2 linked regions of the Ovis aries genome follow. The protein of the gene in region 1 interacts with the protein of each later gene in a biochemical or structural test. Links are inferred from orthologs where the notes say so. Each region holds a gene or a part of one and is shown on either strand. Other genes may lie near its edges.

Region 1 (4,481 bases):
ACCTGAGAGGGTCACATATTTCCCAGATTAGAGGCCTTTATGCTGAGTGAAGAATTCTTGTGCCTGGAATCTACATTTTCTGCTTTCGTTGTCATTCTGATGGAAAAGAAAGTAGATCCATTGCTTATTTCTCTACAACAGCTTTCAAAATCATAATTTGGTGATAGAAAATTGGAGATGAGTTTCCTTAGGAGGAATTAACTCCCAACTTTCTAAAACTGCTTCCTTCACTTACCTGAAGATGGGTGAAGAATTTCCTTACTCAGGCTGCTCCTAGGGGAAGAAGAAAGGCAGTTAATTAACAGCTTCTTTCCCTCTGATCTCCACTTTGCCACAACCTGCCTAGAGAGAAGGAAGCTACTGGCTTTGGTTTTCTTACCTCCAAAGAGTCTGAACCCTGCAAGCAACTAAATTTCCACCTTCACCAGGAACCCAAGGCAAAAGAGGCAGTCCTCTTGTCTCAGCTCTTTCTCACATAAACTTGCAAGTTCTGGGTCTCCCCATCCTTTCCCTTTATCACACTACTAAACTCCAAGGCTCCTTCCTTCCTGTGGCATTTATTACAATAACATCTCACTCTTGCAAACCTCACCACCTCAACTTTACAGCTAAACTCTGAGAAGTAAACAAAAAGTAGCCAAAATAGTGGTCATAAACTCTGGAGACTGGACATTCAGGCTCTTTGTTAATGGGAGAACTCTTTAACCATCTTTTGGGGACTTTTAATTTCAAAATTTTTAAATATTTCTGAGAAGCTCTATTAACGGATGGCCCAGTCTATTCACAGGCAACCCTTGGAAGCAACAAAGAAAATCCCTAACAAGTAGGCTTAAACTTTTTACAACACAGCTTTTAATTTAGAGGAAGCCAGTTACAAATATTACCCTCAAAAGCGCTTAAGGCACACGGTATAAAACTCGATATTCATAATTATTCTTGCAATGGCAGCCCACTCCAGTACTCTTGCCTGGCAAATCCCACGGACAGAGGAGCCTGGTAGGCTGCAGTCCATGGGGTCACTAAGAGTTGGACACGACTGAGCGACTTCACTTTCACTTTTCACTTTCATGCATTGGAGAAGGAAATGGCAACCCACTTCAGTGTTCTTGCCTGGAGAATTCCAGGGACGGGGGAGCCCAGTGGGCTGCCGTCTATGGGGTCGCACAGAGTAGGACACGACTGAAGTGACTTGGCAGCAGCAGCAACCATGTACTGAAAGCGCCTTCACTTTCACTGTTCCTTTCTTGCACTGGAGAAGGAAATGGCAAACTACTCCAGTGTTCTTGCCTGGAGAATCCCAGGGACGGGGGACCCTGATGGGCTGCTGTCTGTGGGGTCGCACAGAGTCGGACACGACTGAAGCGACTTAGCCCCAGCAGCAGCAGCAACCATGTACTGTGACGATCACAATCCTCTTAGATAAGCGAGATGTCAAATATAAGCTCAGAGAGGTCAAATGTACTCAATATTCTTATTAACAGGGGAGCCACGGTCGAATCTGAACCCAAATCTGCCTGTCTGAAAAGCTCATTGTTTTCTTCACACCGTGAATGGCTCAGGATCCGAATGTTTTTGCCCAAAAAGCCCGTGGAGATGCAATTCTTAGAGAACCTCAATATACTTAAAATATAAATGTTTAGTTGCTTCCGTAAATTTGGAAAAATGTTAACTGAGGGATCGGCTCACACGGCGCTTCCGAAAGGACTGAGCCTAAGAAAACGAATTTCCCCAAGCAGAGCATTAATTTCACTGCTTAAAAGCTCAGCTCTGAGCCGATGGAGAAGGAGGGGGCGGAGAAGAGAGTGCGGCAGGGAACGAGGCCCTCGCTCATAGGACAGTTCCCTCGCGCGCCGCCGCGAGGTCCAGACTGCTGGAGGGAATCCAAGCAAAATTTCCCGGGCACGAGCGCGCGCTCGCGGCCTCCCCGCCTTGGCCCTCCGGATGGAGTCTTTCACAGAACGGCTTTCCTCTCTGCCCCACCTGCAGACTTCCGGCCGACTGCCCCTCCGCCGCCCCGCCTCAGGAGGGCGTGGGGATGCTGGCCTCCACCAATCATTGAGCGCGTGTGGGGGGAGTGGGTGGGACCAGAGAGATTCGAAAGGAGCCCCGCCCCCTCGGAGCTGATTCCCGGGACTAGGTTGTGGAAGGAAAGCACCTTCCACGGTAGGTGAGGCGGCTCGGAAACTGAAAACTGACGGTGGCCTGTAGAAGTGGTGTGGATGCGGTGCTGCGGGGAGTAGAAAGGTGGCTTGGGGAGAAGAAGAACCCGGAGGATGGTGGCGGGGAGGAAGATGGGGCGCAGAGACCGCTCCAGCGAGAGGAGGTTGGGTCGCAGAGGGGCGGGGGCCAGTGTGTGGAGGGAGATGGGAGTGCGGGACATTCTGCCCGTACATGCCCGAGTGGTAGCAGAGGAAGTTTACAGGGGCAAGTCCTACTGCGGGGACGCTTGCTTTACCTTCACGATTATTCCCAACCCTTGGCTTGCACCCGGAGTCTAGCTGGGAGGCCTTGAGCAGGATGGAGACGTGAGGAAAGGTGTTTTCTCTCCAGCTCAGGTGTCTAAGCTGACTCTTTCCTGCTGTCTGGAACATGGAAGATTTAGAAGAAGGTAAGGAAACGCTGGAGGGAAGAATGGGACCATGTTGGGGACCCAAAGCTGGCATTCCTTCTTTCCTCCCCTACAGACGTAAAGTTTATAGCGGATGAGACCTTGGACTTTGGGGGGCTGTCACCATCAGACAGGTAGTAGACTCTTTATCCTGTTTACTTTTTTCTCACAATGATTGTTTCTAACCCCTTACTGCTGAATTATTGGCCTCAGGTCTGGATTGGTAATTTAGCAAGGTTGGGTGCACTGGGGCTTCTGGGTGGCTGGGTGACTAGGGCCCTGTGTCACTGCTGGGGATGGGGCGAGTAATAAGCTGGAATGAGATTTCAGGGTGTTAAGAAGAAGGTAAGTGGATTTGTGGCATCTTCACCCCGGCATAATTTCCAATGTCAGTAAGCATAGAAGGCCTCGTAGAACCAGATGTTTCATCACTTAGATCTCACGGCCAGTATGGGCTTCAGGGTTTGCATTTGTGTTCTTGGCTCTGCTGTGGGGGTTTTGCCCAGTCCCCCTTGCAGTCTTCTCCTGTGGGCGTGATGCCTGCTTTGTTTTCTGTCTCAGTCGAGAGGAAGAAGATGTAGCAGTGTTGGTGACTCCGGAGAAACCCCTCCGACGAGGCCTCTCCCATCGAAGTGACCCAAATGCAGTGGCCCCCACCCCCCCGGGTCTGAGGCTCAGCTTAGGCCCCCTCAGTCCAGAGAAGCTGGAAGAAATCCTCCATGAAGCCAACCGGCTGGCAGCTCAGCTGGAGCAGTGTGCCCTGCAGGAGCGGGAGAACACAGGCGAGAGCTCAGGGCCTCGAAGGGTGAAGCCCAGCCCTCGGCGGGAGACCTTTGTGCTCAAGGACAGTCCTGTCCGAGACCTGCTGCCCACCGTGAGCTCTTTGGCTCGGAGCACCCCCTCTCCAAGCAGCCTGACACCCCGACTCCGGAGCAGCGATAGGAAGGGGTCCGTCAGGGCTCTTCGAGCAACATCTGGAAAGAAGCCCTCCAGCGTGAAGAGGGTGAGTTGAGAGGGCTTGGCTTAGATGTGTGCCTCCGACACTGTGCATGACCCAGTACAGGCATTTTCCTTGTTGGTAAGATGGAGATAGTCAAATTCTACCTTGTAGAATTGTTGGAATTAAACAAGGTGCCATAAGCAAGGCACGTACCACAGCATCTGTGTATAAGCTCTGTAATAAGCTCTCAATAAATGGCGTTGGTGGTGACGCTGCTGTTGTTGGCAGCTAACTTCTGCCCTTCTTCCTGGGATCTACAAAACTCTCCACCTCTGTCCCTGAGTCAGCCAGCAGAACAGATTCTTTTTCCACTTTAGTCCTTTTTCTCCCTCTGTGTGTTTCAGGAGTCGCCCACGTGCAATCTGTTCCCTGCCTCCAAAAGCCCAGCATCTTCCCCTCTTGCCCGATCAACTCCTCCGGTCCGGGCAAAAGCCGGGCCCAGTGGGAGAGCGACAGCAAGTGAGAAGACCTGGGCAGTGAAGCTGTGGGTGGGTGGGGTGTAGGGAGTGGGAAGGATGTGGTGCAAACCCTGAAATTCCTCCACCCCTCTCACCAGGTCCACCTACCCCCGTCACACCAGTCTTGGCCCCACAGCCTCCTGCCGGCAACTCTCAGCGCCTGTCTCGGCCCCAGGGAGCAGCTGCTAAACCTTCCAGTCGACTGCCTGTTCCCTCGGCCGTTCCCAGGCCTGGCAACAGGATGCCACTCGCCAGCCGGAGTGTCCCATCCAGCAAAGGCGCCCCTCCTTCAGATTCCCTGTCAGCTCGGAAAGGACTTCCAAGACCAAGTGCAGCAGGGCACAGAGGTAAGGAAGAACAGACAAGAATAAGAAATCAGGACGAATAATATTTGCCCTTGCCCAGCATGCACGCA
Region 2 (4,253 bases), on another chromosome or scaffold:
AACTTCATTATCAATCAGTTTCCCTGCTTGACTAGCTGGCCTTCTTTCTTGCAGTCCCTAGCAACGGCAAAGATTATTCCAGTCAGAGACTTTGGACTTTGATGTCTCTGCCTGCAAAATTCGCTCCCCCCGCCCCAGATCTTGGCATGGCTGAGTCTTCCTCACTCAGATGGCGAGTCAAATATCACTTCTTCAGAGACCCTTCCTAGCACAAAGAGCCATCACGTCCAAGCCAAGCTCGACCCCATCCCTATCTGGTAAATAATTTCCTATCTGTCAGTCTCTTTGCTAAAGCGAAAGCTCCACGAGGGCAAAGGATTACATATATCTTGATCGCTGTTGTCTCCCTGACGGCTAGGACACTGACTAGTTTAGGGTAAATACCTGGTAAGTGAAAAAACGCACTTAATAAACACGGCCATCTCCTACATTTTCCACTCTTTTCCCTTTCATTCGCAGGAATTCTCAAGGGCCGCTGTCCTCGCAGGAAAGCCCTGGAAGCGTCACCGCCAAGCCACAGCGTCCTCTTCCGCGTGAGGCGAGGCGTGCCCAGCCGGGAGCTAACGGCACCTCAGGCCCTGGAGCGCAGCCTAGGAGCCGGCGCTCGCGTCCGAAAAGCACCGAGGGCGGCGGGACGAGGAGAGCCTCCCCTCGCTTCCTGGGGACTGACACCTGCTCAGTCCTAAGCCCCGAAAACAGCCTCTCAACGGCCACACAGCCGCTTCTCCCGTCGCCGAGCGTAGCGACCTCTTCCAGTTACCTGCTGGAGATCCGCCCCAAGCCACGCCGCCTCCGCATTGCCGTTCGAGCAAGCGCCAGCCCCTTCCGGGCCACCGTAGTTCACAGAAAGTACAAGGCGCTGCCTTCTCCCGCATGCGCAGAGGTCCTGTTCGGTATATAGTGTTTCTTAGCAACCGCATGGAGTCCCTCCGCCAGGGGCGGAGCGTCGGGTGCCGCGAGGTGGAGGTGGGGGAGTGAATGTGGCCAATCAGAAGCGACTCCTAGCCTCGCTCGGCACGCCTCCTCTAACTGTCGCGAATACGCAGGCCGCTTTACGGCAGGCAAGGGGTGGGGGCCGCTGGGGTAAGGAGGAGAGAAGGAAGCAACCAACCAACCAAGTCGCCCCCACCCCCCCCCCCCCCACCCACCTCAGACCTGGTTTACGGCTCCGGGCTCCGGCTCCAGTGTGGCCGCTGATTGGCTGCTGAGGGCTAGGTCCCATCCCAGTGACCCCAAAGTGCTGGAGGGAGGGGGCGGGGGTGGCCCGGTGCAAAGTGCATCCCGAAAGCCCCCTGCCTGGCGCCCCGGCGGCCGGCACTCCGGGTTCCGTGAGAGCTGGGCCGTCGCCGCCCCGAGCCCTTCTGGGCCCCTCAGTGGCCGGGCGCTCCCAGCCAGGAGCGCGGCAGCCTGCTGCCCCGAGCGCTCGGACCGGGGCTGCCCCCCGCCCGCGCCGGGACTTCCTCCCTGCACCCCTGCCCCAGGCCGCCCGGCGGCCACCGCCGCCGCCTCCGCCCGGCCGGGCCATCTGGATGCTGGCAGGCTGGGGCCGGGAGGCGCCGCGGAGGAGCAGGGACAGCCGGGTCCGGCCCTGCCCGGGCTGTTTCCTCAATGGAGAAGTTGGTGAGTGTGGAGGCGGCTGGAAGAAGGAAGGGAGGCAGCAGCTGAGGAGACAGGTAAAAGTCGGTTACCCCCGCTGAGGGGAAAGGGCCGGCCCGGGACGGAGGGGAAGCCTGCCGCTTCCTGCTGGCCCGCCCCGCTCTCTGCCCCGGGGCCGGGGAGGACGGGGCCCCGGGGCTCTGCCCCGCTCACGGGTCTCTGATTTCCAGGTGTGAGCTGGCTGGGGGGCGAGCGACGGCAGGAGAGGGTCTGCCCACCCGCCTGAGCAGCCGCAGAGCTCTGACCAGCTTCCACCGTCAAGGTAAAGAGCCAGCCCTCCCCTCCCCCATTGTTTATTCCTGGCCCCTACCTCATTAATCGGTGCTTTCTTTTCTGAATAGTTACCTGGCAATGCATCCCTTTCCTGGCTTCTAGCTTTACAGCAAAAACAAAAACGCCGCCCGTGCCCCAGTCTTTAACATTTTAATAACTTCTCTTTCCCAGGACCTTGTTTTCCGCCTTTCCCTCTGAACAGTGTTTCCATGTGTTGCATTTATCTTTTGGTACGCTCCACCATTTACCCTCCTCAGAGACTTTGAGACCTTTTTGTAGCTCCCCCAGCCCCTCTTATTCTCATAGGAATTCCCCAATTCCTTATTAATTGCTTGTTAATTCTGGATGACTCTGCTTTTTAATTAAACCACAATTTTCTGTTTTCCCCTCTTCTTTGCTATCATTCGTCTACCTCCATCAGAATATCTTTTGAGTTACCTCACAAGAGTTCGTGAAGGAAGGTTTCAGTAATAGCTTCGAATTTGTGAGTTTCAGAAAATAACGTGATGTTTTTTCCTATAGCAAAAAGTGAATCTGTGTACCTTAATAATGTGGATGATATGAAAGCAATACTCTCCTGAAGCACTTATGTATAATTAACTCTTTGGGCTTTTGTGTGTTTCTGTGTGACAGATGTTGTAAGGGCTATGAAACTCTTATAAAAAGATAAATCATATTTGGTATATTTCAGATTTTCTAGTACTTACAAAACTTTATGCAATATCTTATCAATCATTTGACTCTCAGGAATTTAAAAGCAAAAGAATGTTTTGGTGTGTTTAGAATGTCGGGTTTTATTTTGGCACTTTTCATAAGATTTCTCATTTTGAAACCCTTATAGAGAATTTGTTAGATGGAAATTTAAGCATCTGTATTTTGTTGCCGCCTTTGAAAATGCACTAAAGGTAAGTTTAGGACATTCATGTAAGTCCTACAGAGGGGATATGAACAGGGAAATCATGTAAGAGTTAATTCAGAAATAAGCCAAGTGAATAACTTCTCTGACATCCAATAACAGGAGTATAAAGTCGCTTGTTAATCTCAGAGTTATTTTAATATCGCAGATTTTTTAGGGAATTTTACATGGAAAGAAGTGCTTAAAATAGCAAAAGTTGTTAGGAAATCTTTGACTTGGTCTCTTCCTCTGGACTTTCTGCCTTCCGGATAAAGAAATGAATCTCCTACCTGATTTTTCTAATTGTCAAGGTGCAGTACTTTTAAAGGGCTTTGAGGGTTTGCGTATTCTTGAGACCTGGAACTGGATACCAAAATGAGAATGTATGCTACTGAATGGGACTTAAAATCAGTACTGACTAATGACTATTCCACAGTGAACATTTAGGGCACCTTTTATATGTACACGTAGAGTGCATATATGGTCAGCCATGTCCGGCTCATTGCGACCTGATTGACTGCAGCCCACCAGGCTCCTCTGTCCATGAAATTTTCCAAGCAAGAATACTGGAGTGGATTGCCACTTCCTCCTCGAGGGGATCTTCCCCACCCAGGGATCGAGCCCACATCTCTTGTGTGTCCTGTATTGGCAAGCAGATTCTTCACCAACTGGGAACCTGGGAAGCTCCCTCTGTACATGTAGGGTTCACTGCATTTCAGTAAAAGCTAGGTAGAAGGCAATTTTCATTATTTAAATATGTGAATCACCGGAGATATGCCTAATGATTACTTTACACCTTTTAAAAAATTGCTAGAATATTTAAAGCATGTTTTTAAGGTAAAGATAAATTATGTATATTTTCTATTCAGGCCTTCTCAGTTAAATATTTTTCTGCTTTAGATTGAACTCTAGCATGTTTTCATTTCTGAGGGGTTTTATCACCTGTGCTGAGTCAAGTATGTAAGGTAAAGAGAGAACACTACTTTCCTCTCTGTTCATTCTAATTTCTTAACTAATTCATTGATCCTCTCAGCTTTTAGTGGTTTTTCTAAGATTATGGAGTATATATAAATTGTCAACATCTGTTCCTAACATTAGCATGATTGAGAGTATTTGGTCTAGATTATGCCAAACATTTAATGCGAATACTGTATTACCAAAAAAGCCTGTTGGCTGATTTATATTCTTCAGTCTGGTAGTTAACTTTGTGTTAATTCTATTGTCAGTCACATGGTTTTGAAAAGAAAAAAAAACAAAACACCCAGCTTTCTTGGTAACCAAGTAAGATATATGAGCCCATAGGGAGAATCACTGATTTTTAATTGAAGTGATGCATTTTGAGTATGCTGTGGCCAGTACTTACTGTCTTCATACCTAAAGTGATGCCATTCACAATTATATTATGACACATAAAATACCGCTTTATTTT

What was found.
Region 2: of the proteins of PSRC1 (region 1) and ASB7, one has a biochemical effect on the other in vitro, tested with the Homo sapiens proteins (2 studies listed by BioGRID, with this or other methods). The link is inferred for Ovis aries from reciprocal best matches to the Homo sapiens genes PSRC1 and ASB7.

Annotation. Positions count from the first base shown.
Region 1 is NC_056054.1:86,559,016-86,563,496, reverse strand, and holds the start of PSRC1 (proline/serine-rich coiled-coil protein 1), read left to right. Parts: upstream 1-1,575; 5' UTR 1,576-1,775; coding exon 1,776-2,163; exon of another isoform or gene 2,164-2,244; intron 2,245-2,550; coding exon 2,551-2,608; intron 2,609-2,684; coding exon of another isoform or gene 2,685-2,742; intron 2,743-3,169; coding exon 3,170-3,611; intron 3,612-3,952; coding exon 3,953-4,067; intron 4,068-4,164; coding exon 4,165-4,413; intron 4,414-4,481. UniProt on the Homo sapiens protein: Required for normal progression through mitosis. Required for normal congress of chromosomes at the metaphase plate, and for normal rate of chromosomal segregation during anaphase. Plays a role in the regulation of mitotic spindle dynamics.
Region 2 is NC_056071.1:5,429,152-5,433,404, reverse strand, and holds the start of ASB7 (ankyrin repeat and SOCS box protein 7), read left to right. Parts: upstream 1-1,269; 5' UTR 1,270-1,673; intron 1,674-1,826; 5' UTR 1,827-1,918; intron 1,919-4,253. Other genes in the region: LINS1 (protein Lines homolog 1), read right to left, coding at 761-920. UniProt on the Homo sapiens protein: Probable substrate-recognition component of a SCF-like ECS (Elongin-Cullin-SOCS-box protein) E3 ubiquitin-protein ligase complex which mediates the ubiquitination and subsequent proteasomal degradation of target proteins.